Lytechinus pictus: one gene and its partners. The protein of the gene in region 2 purifies or fractionates together with the protein of the main gene of each other region. This does not show direct contact. Links are inferred from orthologs where the notes say so. Each region holds a gene or a part of one and is shown on either strand. Other genes may lie near its edges.

Region 1 (7,669 bases), on a different chromosome or scaffold from region 2:
CATGATAATGTTATCATTATACATTTAGAAAAAAAAGATAAGGTTTGGTCAAGAGATGGAATTGTGGCATTACAGTGATTGAGAAAATTTTATTATAATTGGTGCATGCTGTAATGTAAAATCATGGAATAATGAGCAGAAATCTTTGGCCCAAATTCACAAAAGTTCTTTTTAAAACCATTGGTTGAACCCATGGTTTATGCAGATTTCATGTATAAATTACGCTTATTTAACATGTTATATTAAAGATTCCAGTGCTGATGCACGCTTTTGTCACAGTGCGCCAAATTGACGCCTGTTGCCATGGTTAAGTATGCTATTTTATCAATGAGTCCACTGTTTGAAGAGTGGACTCATTAATTCAAAACAGTGGACTCATTAATAAAATAGCGTGGATAACCAAGGCAAGAGGCGTCTATTTGGCGTACTGTGACAAAAGCACGTATCAGCATTGGACATTTTTTAGTATGCGGTAAATAAGCGTAATTTATACATGAAATCTGCATAAACCATGGGTTCAACCGATGGTTTCGAAAATCAACTTTGTGAATTCGTGCCTTTATGTTTTGCTGAAAGTCGCACAGGAATGTTGGCGCATAAAAAGAGGAATACTGGACCCTTTCTTACAATATTCTTATTACTCTGTAAACAACATAAGAGGTAGGCATACTTAAAAGATGCCCATAATAATTGTTCTCATGCTTTCCCAAAACTTTGTTTTCTTTTGTTTTTATGTCAATTAGATCATTGTTTTTAATCAGACTGATATTGTGTACATTGCTTTACGTACAAAATGCAGCTCCAGCATCAACAATAATGTTGGACTAATATAGCGTCAAAGCCATTCTGCAGAGTGCTCAAGACAATATTTATAAATCATGAATTATGAAATTAAGGAGAATTGAAAAGAAATGTTTTTAGGTTTTTTGTTTAAGTTTCAGAAGTTAAATCTTTTTTAATAATCTCAGAAAGATCGTTCCATAACTTAGAGGATAAGAGGATAAATGACCCCCCCCCCCCAGATTTGGAAAATTTGGGGGTAACAAGTGAACTTGAAGTGGTGGAACACAAGGATCTAGAAGGGGTGTAGCTTTTAATTAATGAAATGAGGTACTGCAGAGAAGAACCATGTACACAATGGAATGTTAACAACAAAATTAAGACAAAATATGAAGTGGATTCATGAATAATCATGATAATATCATGCCCATGCCATAAGTGCTAACTTTCGTTTTATAAAATGTAGAATTAATTTTTAAAGAAAGAGTTCCTTTTGCAACAGCCACCCACATTTCATCAATATCAACTGACCTAGTATTATCAATTGTATTGTGTATTGTATTTATATCTATAGGCATATCCCGCCACAGGCCTTTGCATTTACATGTAGGGTATATGCCATCTTCTATATACCAAACATGTACATATTCATATTCTACATGACAAACTGATTTTTGTATCAATTTATGTTTACGAAAAATGTAGAAATTTGTGAAACGGAAGAAAATAAATGTTTATTTGAATTTGAATTGAAAACCAACATTCTGAAAGAGGGCAGTTTTTGAAGGGTATAGAGTAAAAAATGGGGCATGGTTATATCTATTTATTATCATATATATAAATAAATATATATATTTTTTTTTTGGGGGGGGGGTTATTATAAAAGAAAATGGAAAAAAAATCATTTTATGATTTTTGTTTTGGTTTGGTGTTTGTTGCATTCTCACTCTTTCTCTATCTCTCTTCCCATATAACTCTGTCTATTACTCTCTTGCTCCTCTGTTGTATACCTGTCAGGAGAGAAGTTTGTGAATTGTTTTAATGCACATAAATACAACAAGTTTTAATTAGAAACAAAACTGAAGGTTGTGATGTTGACTTAATCAAGGAACCTTGAGCATACATGTCCTCCGCCTTCACGATGTACCAGCAAGAAGGTGTTAATGGCTTGGGCATTATATAGGGAGCTACGACAATGTTTTTGTCACTAGATGGCATTGTGAATTTTCTAGTAGTTCTCGTCTTACAGCGAGTATATCTTCTGTTGTAATATTTGTGCAGAATACCACGCTAACAGAATAAAGCCACATGACACAGATTTGTACACACCTAATGACTGTTGCATGAGACTTGTGAGTATGCTACATGTATATGTAGTATAGTGCCAGTTGTTCTCACCCAAGCTGTTTGACTGTGTGGTGTACCAAGCTAATGGAATATAGCCATGTGACAGCTAGATTGTATCTAGGCTAAGCCTTGTGAATACTTGTGACTTTTAGTACTTTGCCAAATTCATATTGGGCTTTTGATTTTCCAATGATATGGCCATGGGTGACATGCATTTCAACAATTTACCAATGATATTGTAACAGTCAAAATCTTATTACTAGATTATTGGCTATCTAATCAGTTGAAAGACCAGGGGGATTTTGGGGGCCATTTATGCCCAGTGGCAGTGGATTTCTACCATAGCTGTGCAGTTTTAGAAATACAACTTGGCGCGGGGACCCTTCCCACGTTAGCCCCAGGATGTCACCACAGTAACCTTGCTGACTAAATAAAGCCAAGGTATGTATTCTTCATCTTCATACCCTAACCCTAATTCTACAAGTGTCGCTATAAGGCGAGCACATAATACGCCTGCCTGTAAAGCGGAAAATGGAGTTATTTGCCAAGCAAAAAAAAAAGTGGAAGGTGGCGACTTCACCTTTGACAGTCTGACCTAAAAGTCAATAGAATTCCTGGGATCCATGCTAGTATCATACACACCAAATTAGATGAGCCTGGGTTAAGTTAAACTAAAGTTATCACGTTTACAAAGACTTCAGAAGGGTAAGATGAAAACATGTCACTGTGACCTTGAACTTTTGACCTCAAAATCAATAGGCTTCTTGTGATCCATAATAGTATCATACACACCACATTATATGAGCCTAGGTTAAGTTAAACTGAAATTATCGCATTTACAAGGACTGCAGCAGGGTAAGGTGAAAACCTGTCAGTGACCTTGACCTTTGACCTTTTGACCTCAAAATTGATAGGCTTCCTGGGATCCATGCTAATATCATACACACCAAACTACATGAGCCTAGGTTAAGTTAAACCATGGACCTATTACGAATGGACATTCAACGATAGCATTTTATGACCACCACCTGTTTCCAGCTGTCAAAATCGCTGTCTAACCTTTAACTTTCTCTTTACGCGGTTTTTACGACGACCGCCCGGGGCGATTGTTTACACAAGCTCCTTTCGGCCATTGATCGTCATCGATCGATCACTGGCCCTCTTTCGACCAAAGACGGTCATGTTTTAGCCCGATTGCCAATAGGGAAAGTCCCTACATTACCTAAAATGCAATGCGCAACTCATCTCCGTTTTTTTAGTACATTATTTTAGGCTGTCTATAATGTGCGATTGTCGTCTGACCATGAAAAAAAATCCCGTTAAATTTCATCAATCCTGTGGAATTTTATGCCCAAATGAAAATCAACTTCTGACCGAAGGTAAGCGCTACTATCGACATCAATACTGTCCGAAAAAGATGCATTTTTAACGTTTTTCCGCACATTTCTCCATCAAATTTCAACTGCTTTTTTGCAGTAGATATACTGATCTGCACGACGATGTCAATGCATTTCATGTGCGGTTGTTTGCGATGTACGTAAAAAATACCTTTATGCACGCCTGTTTTCTTGTTTCTGCAATCATTTTCATAGTGCTAACGTTCGCTGCCGTGCGTTGCTTTTGATAAAGTGAACGAACAACATCGCAATGTGTAGGAGCAGCGTACAATTGATTTCCGCTGTCCATCAGTGATAGCTTGTTTTACGACCGGCTTGATGGGCGTCAGCTGCCAGCGCTCTGTTTATAAAAGGATTAGCGGTGACGGTCTTTGGCCCAAAGGAGGGGATTCGTTGAATGTCCATCGTAATAGGTCCATGGTTAAACTGAAGTTATCGCATTTACAAGGACTGCAGAAGGGTAAGATGAAAACATGTCACTGTGACCTTGGGCTTTGCACTTCAAAATCAATAGGTTTCCTGGGATCCATAATAGTACCATACACACCACAAACCACATTATATGAGCCTAGGTAAAGTTAAACTGAAGTTATCGCATTTACAAGGACTGCAGCAGTGTAAGGTGAAAACCTGTCACTGTGACCTTGACCTCTGACCTTTTGACCAAAAAATTGATAGGCTTCCTGGGATCTATGCTAATATCATACACACCAAACTACATGAGCCTAGGTTAAGTTAAACTGAAGTTATTGCATTTACAAGGACTGCAGAAGGGTAAGATGAAAACATGTCACTGTGACCTTGACCTTTTGACCTCAAAATTGAAAGGCTTCCTGGGATTCATGCTAGTATTATACACATCAAATTATATGAGCCTAGGTTAAGTTAAACTGAAGTTATCGCATTTACAAGGACTGCACAAGGGTAAGATGAAAACATGTCACTATGACCTTGACCTTTGACCTTTTGACCTCAAAATCCATAGGCTTCCTGGGATTCATGCTAGTATTATACACACCAAATCATATGAGCCAAGGTTAAGTTAAACTGAAGTTATCGCATTTACAAGGACTGCACAAGGGTAAGATGAAAACATGTCACTATGACCTTGACCTTTGACCTTTTGACCTCAAAATCCATAGGCTTCCTGGGATTCATGCTAGTATTATACACACCACACTACATGAGCCTAGGTTAAGTTAAACTGGAGTTATCGCGTTTACAAGGAAAAGTTGACGGACGGACACCGAGCATGACCATAATATGTCCCGTCGAGACGGGCGCATAATGAGATCTAAGTATAACTTGGACATAATTAGGCAGTGAGACTTTGCTGTCATAGGTCTAGATTCATGCACTACATGTATGTCTAAATACTTATTCAAATTTCCTTTAAAATACACTTATAACATTGATTAAACCAACTTGATATATTCGTACTATAGGTAACATGCCAAGTATTAAGTCAGTTTTATGTTTCAATGGCTATTGCAAACTCAGGAATAATTTACAAGCCACAAAACTTTAATAATTCAGAGATCTAAACACATCACTACCTTGATAAAAGTTAAGCCCATTGACCACTTTTAAATCAGTCAAACTAACCTCTCATGGTCAGTGTCATCATAGTTTATTCACTTTTTGGTTTTAAGCTAAGACGGATGCCTACATTATGATCTCACCATCCGAAAATACGTATCCCAGTGGATTCGAGAGCATTCTGTTCTCCCTCCGCAAATGGGAGAAAATACGGGAAAGACTCAAGAACATTTGTGGAAGAATTCGTCTCGTTTTGAAATGGTCAAAACCAACCGAATACCCTCTAAAATATTCCTGAATGAATGTGGCCACAACAAATTTCATTTGGGCCACCTTCGGGATGTACCGTATTCGGATGACATTCCGTTGGATTAGGTGAAACATTCAGAGTATTCTGGGCAGATTTGGCCAAATTCGTTCTGATTCAGATCATCATTTAGCTGTAATAGGAGTAACCCGGCCACATTCGGCTCCATTCTTGCCACTATTCGGGTAGCATTTGGCTTTATTCAGGATGGCTAATTGATTCGGGTCAATTCTTGGCAATTCCTGTAATGGGGGGGGGGGGGACTTCCCGAATCAGCTATCAGCATGATCAGAGACTAATAAGTTCTGAATACAGAGAATTCATCTGAATCAGGCAATATTCGGGCAGAATCAGTCCAGATTCATTCGGCTTTGGTGTAACCCTAGGTTAATACAATCATGACGATACCATTTTCAAGTGACCAAAATATTTCAAATGAGAAGATGGGTGCGATTGGAAGCTGATATGGTAAAGATGAAAAAACGATTATGGCAAGATATTTACAAAGGCCTATTTATTAGTAGAGGCGCTGGTCCAGAAATTGGGATTGTCCCAGAAAACAAGGATATCCTCACAAACCAAGACAAATCATGTCTTGATAAATTGAGATTGTCCTTGTTTATTATGGGGACAGTTTTTGCACTTACCCCTGCAGGACATAGATGGCAATTACGGGGATTGAGAGTGCTAAAAAAAAAATTCAGTGACCTCAATTCCCAGTCTATTTTGAATTACTTGCTGTCGTCCAATAATCTTGTTATGAAACCTGATATGTTCACATTGACTAGCGCACTTGATTGGTGTCTGCAATTGACAGGTCAATGAACTTTGTTAGATTTCTTGGGTGGCAAAATCTTTGAAAACTGAGACAGTCCCTGGAACTGGGACGATCCAAATTTTCTGACCAGCGCCTCTACTGATTTATATTGAAGGTAGCAACGTTCTCGCTACCATGCATCACGGTTGGCGGGCGGCGACTACCCTGAAAATTTTCAGGGCAAATCCGCCAACCGTGAACTTCACCAACAACCGTGGCTGACAATGGTAAAACAGGCCTAGATCTAAAAAAACAAGGCAAAAGCGATTTTGTGTCTCGCCCACTTATGAAAAAAACCAGAAATATCATGATTTGCGAGGGCACGCAACAGAATCGTATCAAACTTCATTGTGAAATGACTGGGATGGAATAACACTTGTCTTAAGAGCCTTGCACGTAAACTGTATTGTTGACCTAAAAATGACCTTCGACCTTACCATGTGACCTCCGACTGCAGCATAACATGCAGGTCGTCTAAGTACATCTATCATAAAAGTTTTGTTGAAAAGTGACTTACGGTTGCGGAGTTAGGTGTCATAAAAAAGTCTTGCATGTAAACTTTAACGTTGACCTGAAAATGACATTTGACCTTATCATGTGAATTCCGACTGCAGCATAACATGCAGGTTCCCCAAGTCCATCTACCATCCAAGTTTGGTTGAAAAGCAACTTACAGTTGCGGAGTTAGGTGTCATAAGAGAGTCTTGCATGTAAACTTTAACGTTGACCTGAAAATGACCTTACCATGTGACCTCCGACTGCAGCATAACATGCAGGTCCCCCAAGTCTATCTACCATCCAAGTTTGGTTGAAAAGTGACTGACGGTTACGGAGTTAGGTGTCATATGAGAGTCTTGCATGTAAACTTTAACATTGACCTGAAAATGACCTTTGACCTTACCATGTGACCTCCGACTGCAGCATAACATGCAGGTCGTCTAAGTACATCTATCATAAAAGTTTTGTTGAAAAGTGACTTACGGTTGCGGAGTTAGGTGTCATAAAAAAGTCTTGCATGTAAACTTTAACGTTGACCTGAAAATGACATTTGACCTTATCATGTGAATTCCGACTGCAGCATAACATGCAGGTTCCCCAAGTCCATCTACCATCCAAGTTTGGTTGAAAAGCAACTTACAGTTGCGGAGTTAGGTGTCATAAGAGAGTCTTGCATGTAAACTTTAACGTTGACCTGAAAATGACCTTACCATGTGACCTCCGACTGCAGCATAACATGCAGGTCCCCCAAGTCTATCTACCATCCAAGTTTGGTTGAAAAGTGACTGACGGTTACGGAGTTAGGTGTCATATGAGAGTCTTGCATGTAAACTTTAACATTGACCTGAAAATGACCTTTGACCTTACCATGTGACCTCCGACTGCAGCATAACATGCAGGTCGTCTAAGTACATCTATCATAAAAGTTTTGTTGAAAAGTGACTTACGGTTGCAGAGTTAGGTGTCATAAGAGAGTCTTGCATG
Region 2 (7,308 bases):
GTACAGTATATGTAGGAAGTGTCTTCAGTCATTTCTACAGATATCAGCAATCTCTGACCTTAACGGTAGAATACAAGAGAGTGTCTCTATGGAGAATTCTCCATTTCCACAAGTACTGTATATAATTTTCATATTTGGGATAGCAAGTGCGAAATTTTCTTGATTGTATTTCCTCTAGTTGTCATTTTTAAAGCACTGAAATAAAGGCGATATGCATGCTGTAGTCTTGGCGAAGAACAAAGAAAACAAGATGGCGACGTAAACACGGTGGCAAGTATTCCCCGTCTTTTCATAATAATTTTCTCGTTTTTTTAATGAATTCTTGTTTAAAAATGAAATCAATATCGTAGAAATGTCGGAAATTGAAGTTGTATCCCATTTACATGATTAAGGGCTAGATCTTTTCGAAGGAAAGTAGAAATCTCTGGGAAAAATTTCAGTTTTTTTCGCGGTACACACACATGAATGGGAACGCATTCCCTGCCTCCATGGAGAGTAAGCATACATGTACGTTAGTACATGTAGTTCTAAATGATTTTTACTCTCTAGGAGCCTCCTGGCTAGGCGGCCGTCACATGGCAAAACGATGTACCGGTATCTGAATATTTTGACTTTTTCAGGTTTTGACATTTGGTGGGGTTTTTCAGGGAGCTCTTTTCATTTATCTTACTCTCATAATTACAGGTATTTTAGTTTTCAAGATACATTTGTAGCTTGGGCTATCTGCAGTACTTTTTTCAAATTTGCCTACTCGTTTGATGGTAAAAGGATGTATCTTACAGATACACTCCAAAAGTGCCGCAGAAGAGCGCAATGATCTTTGGTAAAAAGATGTATCTGTTAGTTACACTTTTCTTCCATCAAATGAGTGAGCGCACCCAGCTTCGTGAAATATGGCAAAAGGATGTATCTGCAACATATATTTTTACCATAATCGGTGAACCACGAACTTCATAGACTAGTTGATGGCAAAAAGATGTATCTGCACAACATACAAACTGTGTGCCACGAATTTCAGAGACTAGTTTATGGCAAAACAGTGTACATGTATCTGCAACCTACTGTACATCTTTTTCCACAAATTGTGCCAACAAAAGTCAGATACTAGTTTATGGTAAAAGTGTGTATGTGCAAATTACACCCTTTTACCAGTTGTCATATCTTTAAAGTTTTAAAGGCTTGTTTCATGGCTAAATTGAATTTGACCTTAAACACAAAATGATGTATTTTTGATCTGCAAATACATCACTTTGCCATGATTCAACCATAGAAACTAATCGATGTACATGTATGTGCAGATACACCTTTTTGCCATGATATCGCTGTAGGAATTGTATGATGTACATGTATCTGCAGATATATCATTTTGCCATAAACGTAGGACTAATGTGGACAGTTGAATATCTTGGCTACATGATGGTGTATCTACATAAAAAAAGTTATTTTGATGAAAAACAAAAGTTAAATGTTATAAAAACTATTAAGGGAGATGAATTCAATGACATTCTTATAAATCTAAATTATCTAACTAAATTCAACACTGGGAAATTTTCTTTTGAAGACAAAAGCTGTAACTTCAAAGTGATTTTTCTAAGAATGTGCATTTTGCAGATACATGTACATCGTTTTGCCGTGTAACGGCCGTAGGTGTATACATGTAGAGACAGTGATTTTCCGTTTAAAAAAATGGTCTTTTCCATTTCTGAAAATCTGTTATTCTGTTTCAACTTGATCTAAAAATGGAAATTCTGTTTTGTCACTGAAAATGCACACAGCAAAAACCTGAATTCCATTTTGCAAAGGTGAATTCCATGAATTTTTACATGAAAAGTACAAGAACCAACAGAATTTCCGTTTTACATGTATGTACCGGTAAAACGGAAAATCACTGTCCCTACATGTAGGTGTACTGGTATTGGTAAGCTGATTGTTGGTATAGTCCAGAATTCATTGTTGCATATTTTGTTTTCATTCTTATGCCCTTTATCATCTATCAAAAGGGGGAACTGAGCAGTTCATTCAGAACTCGGTCAGAACAAGTGACAACTGCTATTAAAGAGTAAAGTTAGGCTAAAAGACCACTCACACGTATTGTGAGGTTAGTAGGGCTTTTAGCGATATCAATAACCTTTCTCTCTTGATCAATAATACCCGCAATTATGTAGGGACACAGTGATTTTCCACGATTTCACGGAATTCACGGAAATGGCCCTTTGAAAGTGGCGTTTCAAACGGAAAACATATTTTTCATCAAACTGCACAGAACAGCAACAGAAATTACTCAAAAATCTCACAAAAATACTAGCCACAAAACACGATCTCACCCCACTTTGTTATTATTATAGCGAATCCAAACATCGTGACTGCACTCGACTCTATTCGATCGAATCGAAAACATCACAAGCGCAAGCTCAACTAACGTAGGACAGCCGAGCTGTGTGTTGCTGCCCTCTATGTTTGAACATGTACAGCACGATATCAAAATGGCTGATAATCAAAAGATGTTGACTGCTCAGAACGATGTCCAAAAAGCCCCAAAATTATCGATAAAACTTCATCCAACCCTAAAAAAATGCCAATAACGTGAAAGGTGAGGATGTATTTTTGCTATTGTTAAAGATGCCATGTAGCCATTTACATCCGATGAACGCGTATTTCAAAGCATTATTGGTACAGTGGCAGATACAAATTTTGGCCAACGCGAGTATGTGACATCGCTATAATGCATAAAAATGCGTATTGATTATGTTCTTTTGTCGATATCGTTAAGATACTTTAAGCATGATATCGACAGAGAATTTTCTCAACGATAACAGCCCTCGAGGTTAGTATGCTATACTACATGTAACCTTGCACTACAAACGTGTCTACGCGTGGATATTTTAGTTGTCAGTTAACACCGCTTCATAATGGATTTAATGTTATCCGAAACTCATTCCGCTACTCACCAGGGGTTTTTCTGGTGATGGGCGTTCCATTTAGAATTTTTATATCATAGCACATAAAAGAGCAAAATCGCTTACCTCGGCCAGGAAAGTGGCTTCGCATGTCTCTTCCACGGAAATGAGAGGAAGGTCATTGGTGGCGCTAATACAATTCACAACCTTAATTCAGCTCGTCTGTATTTTATAACTAGAAAAAGTCAAGATTCTAGATTCATTGTACATGTATGCGATATTCCCATGATTGTTTGATAAAATGTAGACACCAATAAATGCAATAACTTAAAAACATACTTTTTAGATTATTTTTGCTGACGATAATACTTTTTGAAACATTCAAAGCGATGACAAATAAAACAAAAAAATAGACAATTCTATGTGCCTTGAACGAAGCCAGCAGTGCTACTGTTCGTTTGTCAACGAACTTTCCACCAAAGTCTTTACTATAAAAAGATTGGACACTTTGCCGACTTCGCGTAACGCTTTGCATCGATTTACGTGTAAAATAGTTTTTGTGGCTAGTCCTTTCAATCTAGTGTCTTTGATATGAAGATAAATCGCGCGCCCTCTTTAGCTAATTGGATGAAAAGTTTTGGAAATTAAAAGACGGATCCATATTTTATCAATGAAAAGAGAAATCAGCGATTAAATGACGCTATTTGAGAGATATGCATGATTTGGGGAATTGACTTCACATCGTTCGGTAAGTTTTGTAGAAGGACTTGATTTTATAAAACCTCTTTTTAAATTCGCGGGATTGCCATGCAATTGTTGCAATTTTGTATGCGCTGTGCCTTCAATTTTCTTGTAAAGCACCCATGGCCAGGGTGGGCTAAGCCTAAGAGTAAGATCGTAGACGAGAGTAAGAACTAACAAGTGGAATGCCTCTGGCCGTCTCACCTGCATCACGCGATTCAATATAGCAGCAGTGCTGATTTTGAAAACTACTATAACTCGCACAAGATGTTCAGTGATACTTGGTTACTCTTATTTCCACGTTTTATGAACTAGACCAATACACTTATAGAGATATGATGGCAATTCAACAAATACCCCCAACGTGGCCAAAGTTCTTTGACCTTACATGACCTTTGACCTTGATCATGTGACCTAAAACTCGCACAGGATGTTCAGTGATACTTGATTACTATTATGTCCAAGTTTTATGAACTAGACCAACACACTTTCAAATTTATGGCTGTAATTCAACAAATACCCCAATTTGGCCAAAGTTCATTGACCCTAAATGACCTTTGACCTTGATCATGTGACCTGAAACTTGCACAGGATGTTCAGTAATACTTGATTACTATTATGTCCAAGTTTCATGAATCAGCTCCATAAACTTTCAAAGTTATGATGGTAATTCAACAGATACCCCCAATTCGGCCAAAGTTCATTGACCCTAAATGACCTTTGACCTTGGTCATGTGATGTGAAACTCATGCAGGATGTTCAGTGATACTTGATTAACCTTATGTATAAGTTTCATGAACTAGGTCCATATATTTTCTAAGTTATGATGACATTTCAAAAACTTAACCTTAGGTTAAGATTTTGATGTTGATTCCCCCAACATGGTCTAAGTTCATTGACCCTAAATGACCTTTGACCTTGGTCATGTGACATGAAACTCAGGCAGGATGTTCAGTAATACTTGATTAACCTTATGGCCAAGTTTCATGAACTAGGTCCATATACTTTCTAAGTTATGCTGTCATTTCAAAAACTTAACCTCAGGTTAAGATTTGGTGTTGACGCCGCCGCCGCCGCCGCCGCCGTCGGAAAAGCGGCGCCTATAGTCTCACTCTGCTATGCAGGTGAGACAAAAATAGTAAGACTAAGACTCTAAAGAGTAAGACTAAGACAAGTGCTACACAGTCCGACCTCTCTTATCCTGCCTCTCCTTATCCGGATCTCTCTATTATCCGGAGATTTCTTTTTTTTCAATTCAATCTAGTACGTGAGGAAATGAGATTTCAATCTAAACTCAATCCTATACAAAAACTCACTTTGATTACATATATTTTCCAATATAGTCTACCTACAACAGCATTATTTTTCAGAACTTAGGCAAAATAACTTTCCAGTAAATCAGGGCGCAGCGCAAACAATTCATCACGTTCTCTTTTGTTTCCCGGGAAAAACAATGCATGTCTCGCTAGCTAACGCTAGGACTCAATACGGACAGCGCCATCTATCATATCATGTTTGAGCCTACAGTCAGTATAACAATGGCTGACATTGCGAAGCTACGATACCCGTCGCTTTGATCTAATTGTAAAACCAGGTAACAGTGGGTCAAAGAATTGTGACTGGTACTGTAGTTTCATCGAGTCATTCTCTTTCTTTTGAGGTATGCTCGATGTATACCTCAATCATTTTAGCAGGTAAATCATCCAACAGTTTTTGCCATCGATCGGTTTCATTTCCGTAAAAATACCGCCTATAATTTGCACTGACGCTGCAGTGAATACTGTCTGTACACCCTAGATAACCTGCACTGCAGCTACCGCCGTTTGTTGGGGAGGCTATAGAGTACCGAAGTGTGACGTCAGTTGACATGGTGTCATGGCGGGCTGGTTCTAAACAGAATCGCACCCGACTATCGTCTGTACACATTTTGGCTCCTCTGAAAAATAGATTGCAAGCGATCATTCCGATAGCAGCCATTTTCTCCTATGACAAACGCACGCTTTCATTCTGGGTTCATTTGTTTAGAACCAGGCCGCCATGACACTCATTCTGGGTTCATTTGTTTAGAACCAGGCCGCCATGACACCATGGCAACTGACGTCATCGCTTCGGTACTCTATAGCCAGGCGGCTTCTAGAGAATAAAAATCATTTACTAACGTAAGGTTACTCTCATACGAAGCCAGGCAGCCCTCCCCATTCATCTGCGTGTACCGCAAAAAACCCTGAAACTTTCGCCCCCGAGATTTCTACTTTCCTTCTAAAAGATCTAGCTCTAAATCATGTAAATGGGATAAAACTTCATTTCCGACATTTCTACGCTCTCGTTGTTATTTTTAAAACAAGAATTCATCAAAAAAATGAAAAAATATTGTGAAAAGACGGAAGAGACTTGCCCGATGTTTACGCCGCCATCTTGTTTCTTATTGTACTTCCCCAACGTTACGGATGCGAGCGTCGCGTAACGTTGGGGAAGTACAATAAGAAACAAGAAACAAGTATTCAACCTGGCATAATTCAAAGATTTTGACATATTCCCCAAAATATTTAGAAATAGGGAATTTATCTTAATTTCACACCTTTGTTATTTCCAGAGTAATCTGTTGTCGATATTTTCTTTGTCAATCTGTCGACTGTATGCGCGGAGGATCGAATTATGCGGCGATGGCCTTTTGCACTGAATGGTACTAGTATTCAACCTAGTGAGGATTGATAGCAAATCTCAAAAGGGTTTAGATTGCTAAATTAGATCTAGATCTATGTAAATCTCTGGCTTTGATTAATTCCCTGTTTGGTCTCATCTCAAATGGTCTAGTCCATAGTCGGATGGGACAAGGGCAGATTGAGAGACAGGGCCATCTTTCATCGCTAGGTTGAATACTAGTGCCGACGGGTTGAATACTACTTACTAGTACCAAAATCCGTCGCCGACTATAATTCGATCGCCCGCGCACACAGTCAACTGGTTGAAGAAAAAAATAACGGAAAAAGAATAACCAGCATTTGCTCTTGGAAATAAGACGGGTCTGAAATTCAGGTAAATTCTATATTTCTATATATTTGAGGAAACTCTCCAAACGGGTTGAATACTAGTGCCCTTACGGTACACGCAGATGAATGGGGAGGACTGCCTGGCTTCGTATGAGAGTAACCTTACGTTAGAAAATGATTTTTACTCTCTAGAAGCCGCCTGGCTAGGGAGGCAGCAGCTGCGTGTATTTAAAGGAGAATGAAACCCTTGAAACCAGCTGAATCCATATCAAAGAGAAAAATCAAAGAAACATATTGTTGAAAATTTGAGGAAGATTGAATGAATAATATTATAGGAGTGGGCTATAAATGGGTGATTTTTGGTTTTACTGTGGGAACAGTTTTTTTGTGTTCCTTTTACCTTATCTCAACATGAAATGACAATATTTTTTGTCTCGGGTCCGAGAAAAAAGTGTGCCGGGCCAAAATCCAAAATGGCCGCCAAAACCCCCCAAAATCACAGTTTTGGCCACAACTTTTTTATTTGGTGGTCAATTTCTCTGGTTTTGGTGTCTATTCATATGTTTTGGGGGGCAGGCAATTTGTTTTTCCTATAATAAGTACTTTTAAACCATTATTTGTAGAGTTAAAAGGTAATTATACCTAAATTTTCCCATTTTTGTAGCCTTTTTTCAGCCAAA
Region 3 (7,471 bases), on a different chromosome or scaffold from region 2:
GGAAACATCAACAGAATGTTGTACATTCATTTTTAATGCTGTCTGAAACCTGTGATTGATTGACCAGCTAAAATGTATAACTTAAAGACAAAACTAGACGATATCTGTGATTCATAATTCCTTTTTCATTTATTATTTCTTTAAATATTGCAATTATTATTATTATTTTTTTTTTTTTTGGGGGGGGGTTCATTTACACCAGTGAATGTGAAAGGGGAGAGAGGGCCCCTTTTCTGTTTATTTGATCAATTGCTTGGGTTTCCATTCCCTTTATTTCTTTAATACCGTTAATGTACAGCAAATGATCTCTTTAATCACAATATCTCATCATTCTTCTATCAAAACCAACAAAATCCATCAAAGCAGGCTTTCCCTTTAAAGACTCACTAAAGGATTAATACATGAATTACATGTAAACATCTATAATCTATTGATACGGCTATGATACCCAGCAAGACATGATGATATATCTATAAACCTACTCAGATCTATTCACATCTATAGGGCATTAGCGGAGAGTGATAATTTACAGCCTCTTTCTTTTGGTTTCTGTCAATACAGTATTTGAACTCTTGCTGCTTGTCTGTCATATAGACAAGGAAGTGGCAGATTTTGTGGTGATTCTGCAGGCTGAAGGCAGGATAGAGGAAATGATTGCCGGGGGATGGAATCAGAATCCCAAAGCTTGGATTTCTCCGGGATGATTTATTTTGTCGGGCTAAAGATTAAACATGAACTTTCATGTTACACCGATTATCCCATGTTGTATGCTGTACAAAATATCATACCAAGAACTCATGTACATGTACAATGTATGTACATACTGTACGTGTATTATAGGGCTTGAAAGAAATATAACCGTTCAATGTATGTACATGGGGTCGACATCGTTTCATTGTTAATTCAAGCTTTTTGGCAAAGCAGGTCGAGTTTGAGAAATTAATTTTACATACCTTAGAGTGGGTTACATGTCTACATTTAGGTAATATCTATACACAGTACTCGATGTAATATAGGCCCTCTATAATATGTCTGCAAGGAAGCTCAAACCTATCAAGTACATACTGAGATTTGTTTGCATTTTTAAACAAATTCAAATCAAACTCACATATATAGTTGTGATATTATAAGAAAGAGTGACCCCATGGGTGCGCAATAGAAAATAATGGTGCGTTATACATGTAGGCCTACAGTGTGGGCTCTGAGTATGGAATCGCCACTTCATAATGCATGGGTTATGAGTCAAGTCAATTTGACATGTATCAGAGTAACCCATTATAATATATTGCAAATAGACTACAAACTGCATTGAGCTGGGGAGGCTTTCAAAGGTTAGATTGTAATTGTTAAAGTGAAAATAGCATCAACTTCCGTATTCAATGTCTAGTCATATTTAGAAAAATATCTACAATGAAGAACTGTGGACTGCACATTAGACACCGTCCTCACTACCTTCCTAAAACTAGTTTACTGGAAACTAATAGTGGAAACTAGTTTAACATGTAGAAAGATCGAAGCGATCTCCCAAAATCCAAACCGGTTCAGAAAACCACCTCGCGATGTAGTTTTAAACTGGTTTTAGCATAAGTGAGGACACAACCGTTCTTCGGGAAGCAATCTTCGCACATTTTGAGCGTGCTACTCCACACGACAGGTGTAGAATGCCTACGCTGCGGTTTCAAATTTCGCGCAAAACGTGTCACCCCACTGAGAGCGTTTCCATAGCAACAAGATCGCTTTACGTGAAGTGATTTTGAAAACCACTTTCGTGTGATCAAGTGGGAACGCAAGCAAAGCGATCTTCCAAACTGGTTTCCTGAATCGGTTTCCAGTAAACTAGTTTTAGAAAGCGTAATGACAACGGCCTCTTAGATACATGTAGGCCGACCTAACCAGCTCCATGCTAGAGTGTCTGGTGAGAAGGCAGTGGGGTCCCATTTTTAAAAGTCTGGTATTACTGAGTCAGGGATAGAACCCAAGACTATCAATAGCAAGGTGCTTTACCTTTAGAGCCAAGTTTACAGACTACAGAGTAGGTTCTTTTGTGACAATAATTTCGTGTCAAGCCAGGTTTCAAATATCTGACCACAACAATGTCCAAGAACAAGACCTACATATACATGTATGTACATGTGAAAGAGAAATAAGCTACACGTATTCCCAATCAAAGGCAGGCCTAATGCAGTGTAGTCTGCATGCTACACACTAGATTAGACAAATGGTAAGCAACAAATAATTGATATCTGTCTCCTGGGAAGCGTTTCATCAACATTTTTGTCTGACAAGTTGTCCGATCTAACATCTTTTGCTGATTTTGATTGGCTGAGATGCAATATTACTATGGTAACTGTCAGATAAAATAGGACTTGCTGGATAAGACGTCCATCCGACAAGTCCCAGAAGCGCAATGACAAGATATCTATAGGCCTAAACCCAGAATCAGACCCATTTTTTTATGTCAATCATTTTGGATCTATACTTCTTTCCTAATGAAGACAGCAAGCACTGAATAATTGGCACAGGATACACTACCCTGCAAATTGAAAAAGAAGAGAGATAAACAGGAAACCAGCCGAGAGGTGAGCAAAAGGCAATCCAAAGTTCGTGAAGTTCCAGCCAAGTTTTTGATTATATATATGCCTTCCTAAATGAAAATATCCTCCTTTAAGGATTAATTGAATACACACAGCATGGTTACATACATGTATGTCAGACCCTACTACATGTAGTCTACTAAATGGGTAAAACAGAGATACTAATAATAATAACATAGGGTATTTGTATAGCGCACATATCCACGTGGTAAAGTGCTCAAGGTGCTCCTATGTTACCCTGGCTAAGCTTGGCTACCGATTCCGGTGCTCACAGCTTTTTGAAGAATTACTTCCTGCCGGGACTAGATACCAAGGTTCTCAGTTCAAGTCCTGAGGCAGCACATTGGTCTCTTTTTTGCAGAGATGTTGTGTTCTGCAGCACAGATCATCACCACCTACTTGGTGGTATCTCCAAAGATCACTCTCCATGAAATATGCAGGAGGACTACGAGATGTCACTTCTATGGCTGCTTATATGCTTTAAAATCAAACCAACCAAAGACCATTTCCCGAACAAACCAGCCAGGACATGGTGACAAAGTTTACATTCAGTTTATTCAAACCAATCAACCATACCTTGTACTGCTAATACTTCATTCACACACCGCCTATGATTGCGTAGACCTACAAGGATTCACTCACCCCTAGAAGAATATTGACAGCCTGTCTGTAGCTGACAGTAGGTTCCAAGGGATCTGAAGTGGAGTTGATCTTGTCCCGATGAACACTACCACGTCCCTTATGTGGAGGTTTCTGAAAGGCAGACATCATAACAGGCTGCCAAAGACTATTCGGTTTATTTGAAGAACTTTGTTGAATTGTAAGCTCCGGCATTCAGAAGAACGTGACGTGCTCTTAGGTTTAGGAACTTGAAGAGTCACCCTATGGAAATTGATGTCCTCAGTATGACAACCTTGACCAATCGATCAAGGTCCTATACCTCTCTTGCCACACACACTGTTGAAAGATATATATTACTCACAAGAATATTGAGACTGACTGAAGGGGCTAAGCTATGGCCAAGGAAATTGTTTTAGAGTTCAGACTGCAAACTGCTTACATCCAAGTTCCTTGAGAACGTTGTACAATAATTGCAGGGAATGATTTTGGTCAGGTCAACACTAACAATCCCCTGAATCCCAAGATTGCAATTGCAAGGACAAATATTTTGTTGCAAACTGGAATATTTGTTGAAGTGGTAGCACAGAATTGACTATCCTTTTAAAAGAAGTGTAGTTTAAAAACTGCTGTCACAGAACAAGTTTGGCTGTCACGTATTTCTCAGTCTTCGCGAATAACGGCTCTGAAACCAAAGCCCCCCAAATGCAGCGGAAGCCTTCTATCCTTGTCATGCACTGCAAGTTTAAAACAAGATAAACCAAATCTCCCACTCTTAATTCCCATCGGCTCCACTTAAAAGACAATCAGAGAACATGAATGTCTGCGGCTGTGAATCCCTTCGGCCTTCTCAGCCATTCCAGAGAAGAGAAACAATCGAGCAACACAGAGGGAATGAACAGACCTCCACTGTTTACTTGGCAAAAGAAGAAACTGTAAAGAGAGAAAAAAAGGGGACGAAATCCAGCCTTTGCCTCTCGCATTTCTCTGATTGGATTAGGAAATATACAGTCATCGTCTGGATTAATTATCCTTTTTTCTTTCCATAAAGGGAGCGGAATCGAACCCTGGCAGCAGAGCCGAGGGTGCGCCTCCCAACGTGGGCTGAGATCTGGGGCACCACGATATCACAGATGCTTCGTGTTTCATAGCACTGATGATGTAATAGGCCATCTTGTCATTACAGGCTTATGGAGCCCTGCCATCAACAGATATCTGCTGGATTGCGATTAAAAGCAGACAAGCTTAAAATAACTTCTAGGCCACTTTATCGTTTTGTTTACTTTAACAAGAACATAGCAATCCAATTAATCAGATATATTTATGTCAAGCAGTAACAGGAAGTCTTTCTTTTACAGTATTTCTTGTCTAAATCTACTGAACACTTTCAAATATAGTCGAAGGACATTTTTAGGTATAAACAGGTGATAAATACTTTCAGCTCATCAATACAGTAAATAATGTACAAGAAAATTGTACATACATGTATGTATTAAAGCCTTCACGTGGACCTGTCAACATTAGATAATAACACTGAATATAACTACTGATTGGAGAAAAAATGTTATGACATTTCTCTGAATTATGCTTTCCTGGGTGTAGTACTCATGTTGAAAGGTATATATTTCACTTTCATACATAACCCAACACTTTTTAAATTTCTGCTGGTAGGATGGCTAAGGGTAATCAATCATTTAATATAATTTGTTTCAAATCAATTGGATGCTTCTGAAAAAAGTCAACAACAGTTGGCATTGCGTTAAGGACAATTTTTGGCAATAATTGTGTTTAGTAATAATTACTGGTCATAGCTTCGTGCAGAACAGCAAACAGAACTTAAATGTATCATGTTTAATATGTGCTATTACCTTGTGCAAAATGATATTTTTATTATTTTTTGTTTGTTTTTTACGTCCGCACATACTCCATATAACCGCCTCACGCCGAGCGAACACTTACTCCTGAAGACGGACAGTCAACCTGCCCGAAACGTCGAGTCTCTCTACTGCTTCTGCTCTTCATTTCTACTCGCCGACTCAAGCCAGCATCTCCTCATCCATCCTACTACTCAAGCTGTTTCAACTCATCAATCTCTTCTGGTTTACAGTCCTTTTCAGGACTACATTCAAGAAAGATTATTCTGCTCTCACATTTCTACTTCTCACCTATCCATTTATTTTTCTTCTTCTATCCACTGTTTCTATAATACTCCACATGGTGTACCGTAAACCACATCAGCAATTGTTTTTTACTGTTTTGGAAAACAAAGGCATACCAACTTCCAATGAAATACCAAAATTTAGAAATCACAGATTTTTGCTTCTAGTGTAAATACTGTACAACCTCGATGTAATTCAACTGTATTAACGTGCAAATTTTATTGGATTCTGTTCGAACTCATTTTGAGATTGTTACCACAACTGGTATTTATCTTTAACATGCAAATTTTCCACTTGATCTACTAGGGGTCAAAATCATCCAACATACACTTTAATTATCTGGAAAACAATGAAACTGCAAGTCACAAGCTCACAGCGTATTTGTTTTGAAACAGGATTTGGTTGTGGCTTATTACAGTAATTCATTATGGACTGCAGCCAGAACAAAAGCTTTTCCACAACATATAAAAGGAAAGGAACATTTAGACAAAAATGAAAAATAAAATATGATATGAAAATTGGGTACAGATTTCATCAAGAGTGTGAACTACGGAAAATGCTCTACAATACACTGTTACTTCGAAGTGAACATTCAATACATTTTTTCAATAAGATGGCCAATATGAGTAAGCAATGGAAAAAATTTCAAAAAATTTTGAAGTAAACATACAGATAAAAGTTTGCAACTTAGCTTGTAAAACTGAACATTTCCTATTCAATTTCAACACTCTTTGAGGCATGTAATTGATCCTATGAATTTCTTAAACATACATAGGGATTATCCTAGAATGAGTAGGCAAAACTTGATGCAGACAGGGTAGTTATTCTTTCAATGAAGTGAGTCCAATGAACACTAAAAATAAGAACTTTAACAATTAACCAATCCATGCTGACTAGGGCTGTTAATCGTTAAAAAAGTTATCTGTCGATATATTGCTTAAAAAAATATCTTACTGATATCGATAACTATCGACAAAAGAACATAATCAATACGCACTCTTTGTTTTTATGTATTATAATGATGACACAATACTCGCGTTGGGCAAAATTTGTATCTGCCACTGTACCAAGAAAGCTTTATAATCCGCGTTCATCGGATGTAAACGATTACCGGTACATAACATCTTTTAAGAAACATATTTAGCATTTAAATACATCCTCACCTTCCACGTTTTTAGTATTATTTTAGGGTTGGATGAAGTTTTATTGATAATTTTTGGGCTTTTTGGACATCGTTCTGAACAGTCAAGGTCTTTCGCCTATCCGCCATTTTTAAAAGTGTTGTACATCTTCGAACGTAGAGGGCAACACACAGCCGTGTGCTGCCTTCGTTGGTACTTTGCTAAAATTGAGCTTGCGCTTGTGAATGCTTTCGATATACGATCGAATGGAGTCGAGTGCGATCACGATATTTGGATAAACACGATTATAGCGAAGTGAGATCGTGTTTTTGTGGCTAGTAAATATTTGTATTTTTTTTTTAGATTTGGGAGTAATTTCTGTTGCTGTTCTGTGCATTTTGAGGAAAAAATACGTTTTCCGTGATTTTCCTTTTGAGAAGCCAAGATCTTTTGGCACAACATTCAATCAATTTGTCATCAACGCTGTTTTTTCTTTTTTTTTCAAGCCTACCCACTGCTATCCAAACTAGAGGAAGTTCCATAGAATATTAATAGAATTATAATTGAGATCAATTTATTTCTTTTATGAATCTGCAAAATGTATTATACTTGATCAAATCAACTTCTGAATTGTGTTTCTTGGGTTTAAAAAAAGTGTTAATTAAAATCCAGAAATTAAGAGTTGTGATGAGAATTTGAAACAAATATGATACACAACTGTATCACTTGGATCCTTCACAAAGAAAGCACTTACAAATGACTTTGATGAAAGTAATGTGGACTATTAGCCCTAATTCTGCAAGATTACATTAATAGGAGTATGTTGTTAGACAGACGTGTAATATCAATAAAGATGAGTCAACCTTCGTCTGGTGGGGGAAGAAATTGAGGCACTTTGAGACACAGGAAAATGCCAATTAATTGGCAAAGTATAATATGGCCTTATAAATGCATCCCATTTAGAAGTATATTTTGATTT

What was found.
Region 1: the proteins of cdc42 homolog (region 2) and actin nucleation-promoting factor WASL-like purify together in Drosophila melanogaster (affinity purification with western blotting; 3 studies listed by BioGRID). This does not show direct contact. The link is inferred for Lytechinus pictus from reciprocal best matches to the Drosophila melanogaster genes Cdc42 and WASp.
Region 3: the proteins of cdc42 homolog (region 2) and formin-binding protein 1-like purify together in Drosophila melanogaster (affinity purification with western blotting; 4 studies listed by BioGRID). This does not show direct contact. The link is inferred for Lytechinus pictus from reciprocal best matches to the Drosophila melanogaster genes Cdc42 and Cip4.

The regions. Positions count from the first base shown.
Region 1 is NC_087247.1:47,756,556-47,764,224, forward strand, and holds the start of actin nucleation-promoting factor WASL-like, read right to left. Parts: upstream 3,058-7,669; coding exon 2,968-3,057; intron 1-2,967.
Region 2 is NC_087258.1:1,884,279-1,891,586, forward strand, and holds the start of cdc42 homolog, read right to left. Parts: upstream 3,133-7,308; 5' UTR 3,024-3,132; intron 1-3,023. UniProt on the Drosophila melanogaster protein: Regulates mbt kinase activity and is also required to recruit mbt to adherens junctions. Together with mbt and Frl, regulates photoreceptor cell morphogenesis. Together with Frl, has a role in the neuronal development of mushroom bodies.
Region 3 is NC_087259.1:13,023,757-13,031,227, forward strand, and holds the start of formin-binding protein 1-like, read right to left. Parts: upstream 3,363-7,471; coding exon 3,237-3,362; intron 1-3,236.